2 linked regions of the Daphnia pulex genome follow. The protein of the gene in region 2 purifies or fractionates together with the protein of the main gene of each other region. This does not show direct contact. Links are inferred from orthologs where the notes say so. Each region holds a gene or a part of one and is shown on either strand. Other genes may lie near its edges. The genes, in order: dynamin-1-like protein and E3 ubiquitin-protein ligase MARCHF5-like.

What was found.
Region 1: the proteins of E3 ubiquitin-protein ligase MARCHF5-like (region 2) and dynamin-1-like protein purify together in Homo sapiens (affinity purification with western blotting, with the first as the bait; 3 studies listed by BioGRID). This does not show direct contact. The link is inferred for Daphnia pulex from reciprocal best matches to the Homo sapiens genes MARCHF5 and DNM1L.

The regions. Positions count from the first base shown.
Region 1 is NC_060025.1:9,331,011-9,339,791, forward strand, and holds the end of dynamin-1-like protein, read left to right. Parts: intron 1-1,112; exon of another isoform or gene 1,113-1,265; coding exon of another isoform or gene 1,266-1,382; intron 1,383-1,461; coding exon of another isoform or gene 1,462-1,656; intron 1,657-1,713; coding exon of another isoform or gene 1,714-1,996; intron 1,997-2,057; coding exon of another isoform or gene 2,058-2,414; intron 2,415-2,481; coding exon of another isoform or gene 2,482-2,567; exon of another isoform or gene 2,568-2,886; intron 2,887-3,175; 5' UTR 3,176-3,360; coding exon 3,361-3,462; intron 3,463-3,546; coding exon 3,547-3,691; intron 3,692-3,750; coding exon 3,751-3,902; intron 3,903-3,970; coding exon 3,971-4,238; intron 4,239-4,313; coding exon 4,314-4,414; intron 4,415-4,482; coding exon 4,483-4,793; intron 4,794-4,853; coding exon 4,854-5,004; intron 5,005-5,065; coding exon 5,066-5,281; intron 5,282-5,344; coding exon 5,345-5,560; intron 5,561-5,635; coding exon 5,636-5,927; intron 5,928-6,008; coding exon 6,009-6,277; 3' UTR 6,278-6,608; downstream 6,609-8,781. Other genes in the region: N-glycosylase/DNA lyase-like, read right to left, coding at 1,266-1,382, 1,462-1,656, 1,714-1,996, 2,058-2,414, 2,482-2,567; probable RNA-binding protein 46, read left to right, coding at 7,453-7,868, 7,940-8,117, 8,282-8,456, 8,515-8,776. UniProt on the Homo sapiens protein: Functions in mitochondrial and peroxisomal division.
Region 2 is NC_060025.1:255,623-263,491, forward strand, and holds E3 ubiquitin-protein ligase MARCHF5-like, read right to left. Parts: upstream 4,341-7,869; 5' UTR 4,248-4,340; intron 4,034-4,247; exon of another isoform or gene 4,020-4,033; 5' UTR 3,961-4,019; coding exon 3,896-3,960; intron 3,839-3,895; coding exon 3,630-3,838; intron 3,573-3,629; coding exon 3,079-3,572; intron 3,012-3,078; coding exon 2,859-3,011; 3' UTR 2,682-2,858; downstream 1-2,681. Other genes in the region: probable RNA polymerase II nuclear localization protein SLC7A6OS, read left to right, coding at 12-158, 220-366, 423-643, 710-832, 907-1,132; 2-aminoethanethiol dioxygenase-like, read left to right, coding at 1,846-2,152, 2,218-2,663. UniProt on the Homo sapiens protein: Mitochondrial E3 ubiquitin-protein ligase that plays a crucial role in the control of mitochondrial morphology by acting as a positive regulator of mitochondrial fission and as an important regulator of immune response.

The sequences.
Region 1 (8,781 bases), about 9.1 Mb from region 2:
TTCTTCTTCTTCATATAAAGCAGAGATGATATAAATATTGGGGGCCATTTATCATTGGGAGCAGGAGCAGCAGACCCCCTCTCATTCATTCACTGGACAAAAAAAGGTTCTCTCTTGTGTTCAGCTGTGGATTTGTGTCTCTGTAGACTAGCTAGATCCTTGTGTTGTACACAAGTCCCACACCTAAAACTAACTCACACACATCACCCCTCTCTCCATTTTCTAAAAAAAAAGGACTTTTTACGATTTTGATTCTTTGGGGGGATATAAAAACTGAGGGGGAGAGATGAGCCCCAAACATTTTTGGCGAAAAAGATTAAAACCATCGAGACATTTTTTCTTATTTATATTTCTGATGAAAAATAGTCGAAATTCTTTGCCTGGCCACTGCATTGAGGGAGGGGGGATAGGGCCAATCATAATAGGAGGTACTACTACTGCGACGGTGGTGTAGTGTGTACAGAGACTGGGCGATCAATAGTCGTTGAGGTGAGTTGCCTGGGCTCTCATTCTTCTTTTTCTCTCTCTCTCGACTGTCTGTGATCCTTGTGCGGATGGAAAAGGGAGTTGCCATAGAGACCAGCATCGGAGTCTTGTATCCATCTCGCCGACTGTTAAGCCCACCCCCCCATCTAAAAGGGGCGAGAGGACAACAAAAAAAAAGACCCTGGGCAGCAGCAGCAGCACTCTGCCGAGATCACAGAAAGCAAAACACATACAGTACGAACCAGCAGGCAATACGTTCTTACTCTTGTTGTTGTTGTTGCAGAGATAAAATAGTCTAAAGTTGTCCGATCCGGTTAAAGACGCCGAGACGTTTAATCGGCGTGAAATAAACCTTCCGGCGACCCAATCTGCTCCTTTCCTTTTCTTTTTTGGTATTTTGTATTAATCCATTTAAAGACTTTGGCGCGCATTCGGTGTGGAGGTTAGGCAACTGGAAAAGACCAGAGCCTCAAGGCATTACAGAGCACCCGTCTTATTATTCTTATTAGAAAAAGAAGAAGCTAAAAAAAAGATGTGATAAGTCCATTAATCACGGACTGTGTGTTTTTCTTTCTATATATTCCGAGCCTGGGCTTTACTTGGCCAGGCGTCATCAATCAAGTCCATTTTCCTTTGACAAAATAACATTTTCTTCGTATTTTTCCTAGTTTACAATGTACGCAAACAAACACATCATTTAAAAAAACATAAATGTCTCGGCCGTTACAACAAACATATGTGACGACGACGACCATCATTTCTTAGACTTGCGGCGGATTTCATCTTTTTTTCGGCTTCTCTTTGCTGCTGCTGACGTCTTGACTTTTTTCACGGCTCCTTTTCTTGGCCGGTGACGGCTCGGCTTTCAGATGGCGCAAGTCGGCGCTGAAAAGAACCTGTTTTTTTTTATTTAGAATTTAAAATTTCAATCGCGTCCGACAGACAAATTTATTTTGAAAAAAGGTGTTGTCATACCGAATGGGCCCATCCAGCGTACGGTCCAAACAGAGATTGGAAATGAGCGCTGATCTCTTTGTAGACCTTGTCCGTCACACTTTTCGTTTGGCTCAGGTGCGGCACGTAGCTGGCCTTGGCGATTTGGAAGACGTGCGTGTCCACCGGGATTGCCACACTGTGATCCAGCGACATTAAACAGATGCAGTCAGCCACCTTTTTTAAATAAAAATAATAAATTTTCAATTTTTATAAAAGAAATGTCTGATATACCTTGGCGCCTATTCCTGGTAGAGTCATCAAGGCAGTTTTAGCTTCAGGGTAGGAAACGTTTCTCAAATTCATGAGCCAATCTCTGCCACCGTTTTCGACAATCTTGGCTGCAGACTGTTGGATGAATTTGGCCCGGTAACCAAAGCCCAGAGTTCTCAATCGAGATTCCACTTTGTCAGCGGCTAGCGATTCCAGCGCTGGAAATGAATAATAGGCAACGTCTTCGTGCGTCAATAATTGATTTCCATAGTTTTCACACAATTTTTCAACCATGCCCGTGATTCTGGGAATGGAGCAACATTTTTTATACTTGACATATTCGAGAAATGATTTTGGAAACAAACCTCTGGATGTTGTTGTTTGACGAGCAAATGAATGCAAACAGATTTTCAACGGGGTCCTGCCTCAGCATTCGCACACCTGCAAAATTCTTGGCAACTTGATTGAAATTTGGATCAGCTAGTGACCACTGCCTGTAAAGACTTTCCAAATCAATATCCAATTGAAAGTAGTCTTTGAGTATGTGTTCGTAATCAATACATTCCTTCAACTCTGTCTTTACGGCTGATGGGCTCGATGCTGGTTCAATTTTAACTGGGGGTTGGACAACACGATAATTGATGCAAGTCTCATCCTGAGTCATTAGCCACAAATAGCCTCCCAACACACCAATCCACTCGCCAGTGAGGGATTTTTTCCACCTGAGAATTTTAAAAACATGTTTTCAAATCATAGCCGACAGATTATCAATGTACTTTTTTCCCCAACCTGAAACTCTGTCCACAATTCAGTGAAATATCCAGGGACAGTTCTGCCATTTTACAAGGTATTTTCATTATTGATGTTGCTGCCATTGGAATAGACGTTAAAAAAAGCTCAAGGGATTATTTATTTATGAGTTGACGTGAAAGACACATTTGACTTTAAAACTGACTCGAACCGAGTTTTATCGTCTGCTAGTTTGAAAACATAAACAATAGTTAACGGGATTGCCCGATTACAACATTCCGCCCTATATTTTTTCGGATTATTATTGATTATCAAGCCAGTAACGTAGTTGATCTAATTATTTCTTGGGCGAGGTAATAAATTCTTATTCATCTTTGCAACTGACGTTCTTAAAAAAGAAATAATAATTTTATGGGCCATAAAAATATTTTTTTATCTAACTGCACTTAAGCGTGTGGTTATACACCTTGAGACATTTTTATAAAGCAGCAGCAAGAGAACATCAAATAATGTAGATAAAATGCGTTATCATTTTTTTATTGATTATCTGACTTTCCCTTTTCGTTCTGCGTTCCATGCCCTTCAGTTTGGCGCATAGAGTTGCCGCAAAAATTGATTTTCGTCATCAAACTATTTCCTTACTGTCGCAATAGCCGAAGCGGATTTCTCCTTTTTTGGAATCAGCATATTAAATTTTCTTTTTCATATTTTCATATTTTTTATAATATTGCAGCTGATGATCAGTTTCTTTCGAGACCGCCAGGTGGCCATCGTCGAGTTCTTTCATTGGTCTACCGTTGTCTGCTTAATAAAGAGCGGAAAACTGTTAATAACGTACACTGAAGTAATATACGGATTAGTTAGAACCCCACGTTCAAATATATTCACGTGTGGTGAACAAGCCGATCTTCTTTAAGCATGGAACAATTAATTCCTGTCATCAACAAACTGCAAGATGTTTTTCACACAGTCGGAGCCGATACGATTCAGTTACCACAGATTGTTGTTGTCGGCACGCAGGTACAGTAACATTTCTTTTTTCGATTCAGTTCCATCTTTAAGGCAATAAATAATTGTAAATTTTGTTCTTTTCCCCCCCTGTAGAGCTCAGGAAAAAGTTCAGTCATTGAAGGGCTTGTAGGCAGAACATTCTTACCGAGAGGAACTGGAATTGTTACACGACGACCTTTAGTCCTGCAACTTATTTATACCCCACTAGAAGATAAAGAACATCGCTCTGCAGATGAAGGTTGTTTGTGCAATACTCTTTTCATCTCATTGCAATTATTTCAAGGTCAATATTTTCAGGGACACTACACTTGGAAGAATGGGCAAAGTTTCTGCATCTGAAAAACAAAATATTTACAGACTTTAGGGAAGTCTTGAGCGAAATTGAACATGAAACTGATCGGGTAGCAGGGCACAACAAGGGAATAGCCCATGAGCCCATGAGCTTGAAGGTGATTGATTAGACTCTATTTCTTTGTTATTGCCCCTGTATTAACTGTGATCTAATGTCATTGTGCAGGTTTACTCTACTAAAGTAGTCAATCTTACACTTGTCGATCTTCCTGGAATCACAAAAGTTCCAGTTGGGGACCAACCAGAGGACATTGAAGCAAAGATTTATGAACTTATTTTTAGTTTTGTCAGCAATCCCAACAGCTTGATTTTGGCTGTCACTCCAGCCACGACAGATTTGGCTACTTCTGAAGCCCTCAAACTTGCAAGAGAAGTTGATCCAGAGGGAAGGAGAACCTTAGCTGTCATGACCAAGTTAGATCTCATGGATGCAGGTGAGTTTTTAATGTTTCAACTTCAATTATCTCTTCAGCTGGGGCTTAAAGTTTGAATTTTTTTAATTCTTTCAGGAACTGATGCCATAGATGTCCTGTGTGGCAGAGTTATTCCAGTTAAACTCGGCATTATTGGATTAGTCAACCGGTCTCAAAAAGACATACAAAATAACAAGGTAAATGCTCGACGCTATATACACATTGATTAGGTTTCTGGAGAAGTAACTTTTTCTATGTAAACCAGAGCATCGAAGAAGCGTTAAAAGATGAAATGAGCTTTCTCCAGCGCCGCTATCCCACTTTGGCAACCCGCAACGGAACGGCCTACTTGGGGAAAACCCTGCAACGACTCTTGATGCACCACATCCGCGACTGCCTCCCTGAGCTCAAAACAAGAGTCAATTTGATGATGTCACAATTTCAAGCGCTACTTCACTCGTATGGAGATCAAGTCAGAGATAAAAGTCAAACTTTGCTTCAAATCATCACCAAGTTTGCCTCGTCGTATTGCGCCACGATCGAAGGCACGGCCAGGAATATTGAAACCACCGAACTGTGAGTGACATTTATCAATTCTCGACAAACCAAATTCTTGCTAATAGTTCAGTCTTGCAGGTGTGGTGGTGCGAGGATTTGTTACATCTTCCACGAAACGTTTGGAAGGACTTTAGATTCTATTCATCCACTATCTGGTTTAACCACATTAGATATACTCACTGCTATTCGCAATGCAACAGGTCCCAGGCCTGCCTTATTTGTCCCAGAGGTAAAACAAAAACTTGTCCTTTATACATCATGCAATGCATTAACATGATTTATTTTACAAGGTTTCTTTTGAATTGTTGGTGAAACGTCAAATTCGTCGCCTCGAAGATCCTTCGCTGCGGTGCATTGAATTGGTTCACGAGGAGATGCAAAGAATCATTCAACATTGCGGCACGGAAGTTCAACAGGAAATGCTCCGCTTCCCTAAACTTCACGAGAAAATTGTTGACGTAGTCACTACACTGTTGAGACAGCGTCTTCCTCCCACCAACATCATGGTAAATACCGGTGGGGGTAAACTTGTTGTCCGCTCTGATTGAGAATCACGTTTGTTGTTTTAGGTTGAAAACCTTGTCGCCATTGAGCTCGCTTATATCAACACCAAACACCCCGACTTTCACCGTGAAGCTTCGCTCGTATCGACGCTAATGCATTCTCACATTGAAGAGCCTGTCTCTCAAAAAGTTCAACCATCCAGACAAGTTTCGTCGAAAAAACAACCAGTGCTCTTCCCTCCGGCTATTCCCAACGGCGAGGCTGCTTCTCCGTCTAGAGAAGTACGATTTCGATAACATTTTGATTCCAAAAGTTTTGTCCGTCACAAAAGATGTTGTTGTTGCTGCCACCGACAGATTCGCGTTCAGAAGACATCAGTCTCGTTGATTGATAGCAACGGTGGTGGTGCTCCTTTTGTACAACAAACCAATTGGCTGAGCAATTTGCTTCCGGCCGGACGAGAGGACTTGATGATGAACGATAATTCTGGTGAAAACACCCCGGCCGCGACGCCTACTCATCACGCATCACCCGTTCCACTTCAGAACCCTTTCGGGCATCAGAAACCGGTGAATCTGCTCTCGGAAGCTGTGCACCAACCCGAGCGAAAGTTGTCTGAGCGAGAGAAGAGGGATTGTGAAGTTATTGGTATACTACTACGTCAAACTTTATATTTTCCAGTTGAACAACGTCCCAATTAAAAAACAACTCATCTTTTCTTCTCCTTAGAGCGACTGATTAAAACCTACTTTTACATCGTCCGTAAATCGATCCAAGATTCCGTGCCGAAAGCTGTGATGCACTTCCTGGTCAATCACGTCAAGGACAACTTGCAGTCGGAATTGGTAACTCACCTCTATCGCCCCGATCAAATTGATTTATTGCTGGCCGAGTCGGAGCACATAGCTCAGCGCCGCAAAGAAGCTGCGGATATGCTCGAGGCACTTCAACGAGCCAGCGTGATTATCGGCGAGATTCGGGAGACCCATTTTTGGTGAAGTTTATACTCTCTCTAAATTCTTTTCGATTGTAGTGTGCTCTCCGTTATACGTGATCTAGTCTTTTTTTCTTCTTCTGTCACTCGATCGCTCATACAAAAAAAAAATTAAAATTTTTCTAGGGCTCCCCCCCCCCCCTCCTTTTTTTTCGTCCAGTTGTAGTCTGTTCCCAACTATTTTGCGAATTAGACATCTGAGAGATGGGCATAGAATATCGTAAAATCTCCTCCAGTTAGTATTTTTCATTCCACATTTACAAATGTAGTCCGATGTATGTTATTCTTTTTTTTTTAATTATTATTTTCAGTACAATAAAATAATGTTGAAATGATGGGAGGGAAAAACGTAAAATATTTCCAACTGTAGATGACCAAACTATTTAGCCCCTTTTTTTTTTAAATTTTGCCAATAGATTTTAGTGATGTTTATTATTTTTTTCTGTAATTGGCCTTCGGAGCATGTAAAGGGCAACCAGTTGCGCAGTCATGTTTGATTTCGGCATGTTTTTATCACCGTCCATTTTTAATCCAGTAGGAAATTCGTCATCGATTGACTCGTCGTCGGTTAATTCCACGAATGCCTAGTGCTGTATCTTTTTTCTTTAATGCGAAGATAAAAAAAAGAACTCTAGTCCAGCCCCTCCCGTCATCAGTGTTTTGTGTTGCCCAACTGTCGACGGGTCGGCCGGTTTTTGGGATATTTTCGTGAGATTAGTCGGCAAAGAAACGATAACGACGAATAATCAGGACGAATTACTCCTTTTCAAGTGTTTCACGGTTCACCTCCCTAATTTTTAGTGAATCCATTTGGCTGGTTAATTTTCTTCTTTTCAGGGTGAATTGAATAGCTTCGTTTTTCAGATGAGGCACAGCCTTGTGATCAGACGTTATCAGCGTAATGAGGGAGTGTTTTTTTTTTCTCCTTTCCGCGACTCGAAAATTCCCTGCACTCGAATGACACACACACTCACCCAGCAGATACACACGCACAGTTAAAAAGATAAGGGAAATCACTCGAAGCTCGTCGGCTTTCACGTGCCCAACTCTAGTTCTCTCGAGTACAGTCAACTGATCGGAAGCTCAACAGACTTATCCCTTTTCTAGAGAGAAAGAGAGAGAGAGAGTCTTTAGTGAATCTCCGGTTGCAGTCCGAATCTGATTCTCTAGTAAAATATCATGTTGCGAAGTGGACAAAGGAGGTACGGTGGGCCGCCAGAAGGCTGGACAGGGCCACCGCCCTCCAAAGGCGGAGAAGTATTTGTTGGGAAAATTCCCCGCGATCTAATGGAGAACGAGCTTCTGCCCGTCTTTCAAACCGTCGGCCCAGTCTACGAAATCCGTCTAATGATGGACACGAATGAGACCAACCGTGGGTTCGCTTTTGTGACATTTGCAACGCCAGCGGATGCAGGCAAAGCCATCCAGAAATTGAATCGCTACGAAATCCGACCCGGTCGATTCATTGGTGTCATCAGGTCCATGGACAACTGTCGCCTATTCATCGGTGGAATACCCAAAGACAAATCCGAAGAGGAGATACACAAAGAAATGTCACGCATTACAGAGGGTGTCGTCCGCGTTATTCTCTACAGGTAAAAATGTTTACTAGTCATACATTTACACCTGTAATTAAATACCTTTTTTTTATTTTTGGCGTGTTTAGTTCAGTAGTCGACAAGAAGAAGAATAGAGGATTTGCTTTCATCGAATACGAATCGCACCGAGCTGCCGCTTTGGCTCGTAGGAAATGCCTACCGGATCGGTTGCTGCTGTGGGGGAAGAACGTGGCCGTTGACTGGGCAGAGCCCGAACCCGTAGTCGAAGAAGAAATCCTGTCCAAGGTAAAAATTTCAATTTTCATTTCGTTTGTTTGGTGAATGGGAAAACAAGTCAAGTGCCGATAAAATGATTCACCGCTTTATCAATACTCTTAACGGGGCCTTCTTATCGTATTAAATTCTCCTTTAAACATGGACTTATCGTAATTTCAAACCGCAATATTCAGGTGCGTGTGCTCTACGTCCGCAATCTGTTGATAACGACGAAAGAGAAGGAATTGGAAGAGCTGTTTGATAGGGCCGGCAATGGCGGCGTTGAAAAGGTGAAAATCTTAAATGATTTCGCATTCATTCACTTTGGCAGCCGTTCGCAGGCCCAGCAAGCCATGGATGCTCTTCAAGGTATTAGATTCTCGTATATGCTTATTTCCTATTAAGGAATTACCCGTCTGTTAAATAGATCGCGAGCTGAATGGGATCAAAATGCAAATTACATGGGCGAAACCAGTCGGGGATAAGCCCAAACGTAGCAACGCACGAAGCAAATTGATAGCTTCCTCCACTATGTTGTTTACCTCGGGGATGACTCGTCAAACACGATATCCAGCGACAACATTTCAACAAATGTGGCCACACTTCACTTTCTCTCATCCTGGCGTTATTCAACCTCAAAACGGTCTACCGCTCCAGGCTTATCCGTCCTATCCGCTCTATCCCCAACAGTATA
Region 2 (7,869 bases):
TACACACAAAAATGACGTCTATCGTAAGAATTAAACGTAGACAAAGTCAGGAACCAGCTGAAGCCCTTGTTCTTGCAACCAAACGTATTAAAGTGGAAGGTTCTGAACAGGCAGTTGAAGAGAACATTTTCAAATTTTGTGGATCTACAGAGAATGAGGTATTTGGTTTGATTTTCATGTTTGTTTGTCAATTATTAATTCTACTGATGCACTGTACAGGAAGAAAATTTGCAAAATATTGCCAAGTTGGTTGAAAAGGGAAAGTTGTTGTCTCACCGTCAAACTCCAAAGGCTTATAAAAGCTCTTCATTTCAGTCAAGAAAAGAAGAAAGTTCAGTTGCTATAAACAGTGAAAAGAAATATAAGGTATTTTTCAAATAAATCTCATAGTTGCTAAACATTGGTTAAAGTTTAGTTATTAGGTTCTCAACACATTCCGGGATCTTGATGCCACAAATACGATGAAAGTTTATGACCTTGTACTTGAAGAACATGAAAAAGGTGAAATTGCCACTTGCAATGGGATCCCTCTTGTTGTAGAGAAGTGTGAAGTATTGAAAGAAAATGAGAAGGAGTGTGTCTTTGATTTGTACTACTGTGAAGGAGGAACATTTGATGACTCTTACATTGATCGTCTCATGAGGTACACATAATCAGTGTGGATTCTGTTTTAAATCTTCATATTTTTTATTGTTATTATTATTTGTAGTGTTCAACCCTATTACAACTCTGGAGATCATGAAGACAGTGAAACCGACCACAGTGACGATTCGAATGATGAAAACAACTACCGCAATGAATATCCTGATACAGATCCCGATGAAGAACAAGGGTATATCAATCATGAATTTCCAATTGTAAAATAAAATCACAATTTGATGCTAATAGTTTATTATCTTATTTCAGAAGTGATGAAGATGTTATTGGGAAAATGTCTGGAATGTATTTGGATGCAACTAACGAATTGTCGTCTGATGATGACGATTTTATCTACTCAAAAGACGACTATCCTCGACACGGTGATGCCTACGCCAATTTTAAGATACGGGTAATGAAGGATTTGCAAGGGAGTGATTACGAGAGCGACAGCGATGACCAGTCAGACGACCAGATCGTTGAGTGTTTAGATTAAAAGTATATTGCTTGATCGGAAAACTTATTTTAAACCTTTTCATGTAAGTAAATTCTCTAAATGTGCATGTCGGGTTGGATATGTTCTCATTTAATATGTTAAACAAAATTGTATTATACAAATTTTTCTTAAAAAATAGCGCATTGATTTAATGTCGACTACACTACAGCTGCTTTTTAAATTGAAACTACAGTACCGTAAAGTATAGATTTTTAAAAATGCCTGTACATAGAAAGATGTAGGAAGTAGTAAATCGTAAATCTATTAGCTAACACATCTTATAGACTAGACAAAAACTTGAATGATTAAGAATTCCGCAATTAATTTATTGAAACAAACCTAAGATCTGAAAAGTGAAAATTATCACTCAAGTTTTGTTTACCGATCGATGTATCGATCTGCGTAAAATTTGGGGTTGTGATAAGTTAAATGGTTATAAAGTTTTTTTAAATGTTTATGAAATAGGATAAAATAATATTTTAAAGGGATAAAAATACTTCCGTCCATAGCTATTTGCTACAATCCCAAATTTAAAAAATTTTACTACTCTTTTTTTTTACGTCGTCTGCTAACTGAGATCCCATTGCCAGTTTTGCACTGCATCTGCATTCGTGTTTAATTGTTAATGCCCAAGTTTCCAAGTTCCAACTAGGTCATGTTTATCTGTAGTCACGTAGATCTGAAAAACCAACGTACCTTTTAAGTTGTCGAGTATGGGTTCTCGAATAGAAAATGTGATACGTACAGCAGTACAAACATTCGCAACTAAACCAAACGGTTCCTTCGTCAACGCAAATGTTAGTCACAACATGAACATTCTACGACAGCTGTTAAGTGAAATTTGCCCAGCTGACGACCTTGGATTAACTCGCTATTCTGGCCAGCCTCGCTTTCCCTTAAATTTGTTTTCATCAAAAGCTGCACCAGTCTCTTACATGGAAATTTTTGAAAACCAGACTGTTAGCATCGGTATATTTGTCCTCAAAGATGGAGCTTCTATTCCCCTGCATGATCATGTTGGTAACTGATTCAGATGTAAATTTAAAGAAAACTTTAATTATTGTTGAAATGATGATTGATTAAAGGTATGTACGGAATCTTGAAAGTGTTGTATGGGAGCCTTAATGTACAAAGCTACTCTCCAATTGATCTCCCTGGACAAACCAACAGCTCTATAGTGCACCAACCTCAGTACCTAAAGGCGAGAAGATTTCCCATCTCCTGTATTAATGAGAAGGATAGCCCTGCTGTGCTTTCACCTTCTGAACACAACCTGCACACAATTTGGACTGTTGGAGGTCCTGCATCTTTTCTGGATATTTTGGCACCTCCATATGATCCAAGTGGCACTCTGAATGGTGGGAAGGTTAGAGATTGCTACTACTACTCAGATGTTGCAGGAGAAGATGGAATGCCATCTAATTCTGAAATCAGATTGCTGAAAAAGACTTCTTGTCCACCTTCTTTCTGGTGTGACTCTTTGACCTACTGTGGACCTGACATCAAACACCTACAGCATGAATTAAACTAATTAAGGTAGCAACACAGGTTAAAGTTCCAACAAGTTTTATTTGCAGCAGCATCTCAACAGAAACAGTTTCAGTACTGTAACTAATGTTTAAAAAAAAATGTATCAATGTGTTCAAATACACAAACTGATCTTAACCCACCCAAATCAAGATTAATATATACACTTTCATGTAATCCCAAAATTCATACTTTCTAATTACGGATTAGTATTACTGCTTGTTTTTATTTCTTTTCCGTCGGATGGCCTTTTGGCGAAGTCCAGCACACGGCGTTGATATTGCCGAATAAGAATTTGTTGCTTGTAATAGATTTTCAAGGCTCCTTTGAGCATCAAAAAAGCAATACCACCCTGGAGAGACAAGAATTACTATAAATAGGTATAAAACTAAAATTAAAAAATATAGCACATCACTTACAAAAAAAGTTTTCTTTAGATTGGAGTGAACAGGATGAAATAGCAATTTTCCAAAGAGAACAGCCATTGATGGAAATATTAATGCTCCACATAACACCCTGGTAGCAGAAACCGGATCAGAAAACGGTGGCTCTGTACCCTGTGTATGGGGCCGCACAGAATCTGATGCAATTTGAAAAGTGGGTAGTAAATGTTTCACAATGGGCACCCGGGGAACATTCTTATTCAGAAAACCCAAGAGAGCTTCTTCCCAACGAACAAGCCTTCCCAGTATAAGCATGATAGGAACTGTTGGTAGGCCGATCAAAAGAAAAAGTGGATCTGACTGTTCCATTAATGCAAGTCCTTCTTTGGCCCCAACCGCTTGCATGATAGTAAGCGCCCCATAGGTCACAGCAGTCCAATAGATAGAACCAATGACAACACCAGCTGCTATAAATGGGCACACTCTGTAAATAATGCGGTCAGCAATATCAAGAACTAAGATGAGTTTTCCTAAAAACGAAATCACATTAAACAGACTAAACATCAACAATGTAAAAAGAAAGTTACCAATTGGAGGGAAAACTATAACATATTGGGTGTTGCATTGTGGACAGTGAACCCTTTCCAATGAATTGCCTTTCTGCTTTTCGTCAACCCAACGTTGGAGGCAACTTTCATGAACCCATCTTGTTGTCCCACTACATTGGCATGGTTGCACCCACACAGCCGTAAGATCGTCCTCATCCGTAGCAAAACAAACCCAGCAATATCTTTTGCTAAAAAAAAAACAACCAAGTTATTGCAAATTCAAGTTTTTAATTGCTTTCACTTACTTATCATCGTGTAAATCTTCTCGGCGATTCGTTTCAATGACGGGTTCTTCTGTCTCAGACTCCATGATATTTCAGTTATTTTTCTTTCTGTTGTTTATCACAATATAAAATGCTACAGGGACATCTAGGAGCCGTTACAGAAACCAGTTGGAATAAAACGTCATAAGTGTTGGGTGTTGGCATCCCCCCCCATGAGTTGCGAGGTAGGAAAAAAAATTCTAATCAAATTATGCAGTCTAACTTCTAATCAAATACATAATAATGAAATAATAAGTAAGCAAAAGGTAAACTACGAAATGGCAATCTGACGCAGTGGTTTACACAGGTTTACACGACGACGACATTAGCTTACTCGAGAATGGGGAGGGGAAAAGACACATAACATAGTTTTTTATTATTAGTTAGATTTTTTCAAAAAGTATGGTTGACCCCGAGGAGGAAGCGATGAATGAAACCAGAGTCACAGATTACTCTGATGAAACGATGACGCAATTTATTTAAATGTGTTTAGGGATTTAGCAATTGAGTCCTAAAAGTGCTGCTGGTATTTCCGAGGGGATGTTGAGGAGGTGGGGTTCTCATAAGTCATCAGATCATCATCATTTCTCGCAGTCGGCCACACGTTTTTCCACTCGTTCGTAGCTTCATAGTTAATTGGTTCATTGTTCTATTTTTTCATTCCGTTCATTCTTCTGTTGAGTGCCGCTGACTTTTGTAAGGATGGTTGTAAGTATAGGAGTAGGTACGTTTGTCGCGTTTTCTTGTTCTGAGCATCCGTCAAGTGATGAATGAATGATTCACAGATTACCCCAACTAATGTTATCTTAGTTTTGTTACGATTCTGTTCACAATTATCGGCCTTCATTTAGTAATTTATTTTCTTGTTCGTGCTTTTAAACTCGATCAACTTTATCTGCGCTGAATGACGATCGTGAACGAGCTCTGACATAAAGTTTTCTTGTGATCAAGTCTCCCTTGTCATTTACCATAATAACTGAGAAGTTTCCAATGCTGCCACAATAGTTTTCTACTTAATACTTATAATGGAATGTTTTTAAACTTTTCTTTCACTTTGTTTGTAAGATTGCTTATTGTTGAGGCATAATAGACTTGCTTCAAGTATTAGGGTTTGTTCAACAAACTTTCTCGTTTAGATACATGTACCGTTGTCTAAGTTTCTATTTGAATGTCCATTGTGTTGGTCTTTACAGGGAGGAGTGGTCTATGTTTCAGAATTGGACTACTGGGCAAAGTTCTGCAGTTTGTTATACCATGTACCAAATGGTGAAGACATTGAAATTGAGATGCTCATTTTTCTTGCTTTTATTCACCCAATCAAAATTATAATTTTATTTTTTTGTTCTTGTCTCATCAGAAGCTAAAGTATTCTTTGTCATTACCTGGCTGAAATCATCTTTGCTATCCAGCAGTTCTACACTTTCTAGTTTGGAATATGAAAAGGTATAAATATTGTAACTCCAATTATATTTAGGCAACAAATGAATTCATATCAATTTTTATGTTTTCTAGATGCATTGTTTGGATCTGGTAGACATGACTTTAAAAAAAGTAAACAAAGAATAATACATCAACGTAAATTTTTATTGGTCAACAAGTAGTACTTGGATATTAAATCACGAGCTCACAAATCATGTGCTTGCATGGCACGAATTCAGTACAACCTGAAGACTCAACTAGGACTTCCAGGTAATTATTTTCGTTGCCCAATGGCGTTACAGATAGTTCTATGGTCGCTGGATATATGTGCGTCATAATTATTAAAACACGATTTTTTTTTAAATTTTCATTGAAAGTAAAACGTTGTTTATTCAGGCTTCACCATCTCTCATTGTGGGCTTTTACGGCAGTAGTCAACGCTCGAGTACAACGGCTTCAATAGTTTCCCACGTCGTGTGTAGGTAATTGATCAGACTATCCCTGAACTCTTCATCTTTAAGTTCTTTTTATTACTTTATACGACGATTTCGACATAGTGCATATGTGTTCGTAGATATTTGAGTAAGAGTTAGTTGTGCTTAGTTTTGCAGGGTTATATTATACAGACAGTTCGAGATAACATGGAGGGATACATGGAGATAGTAGCTATCAACATATGGTCCCATAATTTCGCCCCTTTCTGATTTTCTTCTAATTTGGTCCCACTCTGCCGCACTCTGTTTGATATGCCTCGAAGTATTGCCATTTCATCCGATCTGTATAAATAGGTGACTTTGCTGTTTCTCAGACCAGCCCTACACTTGAGATCCAGCAAAACATTTCGATCATCGATACCTCAATTGGCACAATTCAGTCGGGAATTTTCGCAGTCGTAGTTGAGCGTCCGTTTTAATCGGATTGTTAGAGGCTCAACTCCATCATCTGATTTAAGCCGAGTCTTCCATCATTGTTGATGTCCTTTGCCGACCGTAATACCTTTTCCAGCCTGGAACTGAAGCACGTTAGATGTGTGACAAAGAAAGTAAATTCAACTTGTATTTACATCAATCAATGATTAAACTTGAATTCTTTTTAAGGTTGAAATAACACACTGAACGATTGCTGAAGGATAAGTGAAGAAATCAACCATCATCAACATCTAACGCTAGGAGATGAATTCCGATGTTCACAATGACGAAAAGGTAATGCTTCTTTTATGATTTAAAGCAATTAATTACCAAATTAATTATTATTATCAGGGAGGCGCATTGAGAAAGAAACTTTATTTCGCTACTTCTTCCAAATCGGCCTCTCGAAGTTCTATCGTCCGGAATTTATATCGTTGGAACTCGCTCAACAGTATCTGGTGGTATTGTGTTTTGGTCAATCAACTCTGAAAACCCATTGGCCTGGAAGGTGTCCCCTGTCGCGAGGTGATATGAGTTTGCACGACGTTGATCGAGAAGGCGAGATTGGGTTGTTGAATTAGTCGTGAAGTCGTTCTTATCGTCCAACATTTCGTGGAAGTGGTTCAGTTGAAAATCGCGCTGGCGGTAACTATCGAGCAAAGTAAACAGAATTGCCATCAGCCGAAACGAAGAGCACCAATTTCTGCAAATAAATGTTCCACGACATACTATTGAGAATCGCAAGACATCAATATTGACAACATCAACATGATTCTACCGGTAAAAGTTGGTATTTTCATTTTTGTTATCTTTACTGATATTTACAACGGAGACGTTGAAATAGAAGATGGGAAAATTGATCGAGCTGTATGAGTTATATAGGTTCATTGTTGTTGTATTATTGATTGGGTAGTATCGTAGTGCATGTTTGTGTTGCTACAGCCAGTCTACTCATAAAACTATTAATGGCTTAAATAATTAATTAAATTTTAAATTGAATCTTAGTTAATTCAATGGCTTCGGCGGTACTCCGTTCCAGGACCCTTCCAATGAAATGAAAGAACATTTTCCGTGCGACATCAGGGTGGAACATAATGACAATGAAAACATGAAGACCTCCACAAAAGCTTCATATGGTAACGCCACCGTATGACAGCATACGGACCCATGCAGTAACCCGTGGAACAGCTCCGTACTGGATGATTCTATAGGACGACGCCGGAGGACTTGGGGAAACAACAACCAAAATCGGTACAATATACTTGAAAGCGTGATTTAAGTAAAACTGCTTAAAAAATAATTAAATTCTCCATTACAGTAAACCGTGATAGCTGATTCAAGCGTGGAGTTCAAATTATTAGCCAAGGTTCTCGTGATGCTCCTCTTTCTTTTCCTGCAGTTGCCGTGTGAGAAACAACCGAAACCTACAGAACTTAATGCGAGTCCTTTCAAACAAGCACCGTTACAATTTAGTGTTCCTCAGCTGCATTTGTGGAACGACGACGGGCGAATGGGGTCTACTCGGCCTAGACAACAATGAGCAGAACGTCGTTCTCATCAACCCAACCCAAAAACATTGACGGAATATTGCCAAGGATCTTGGCATGAAACCAGGACTGAAATGCCACT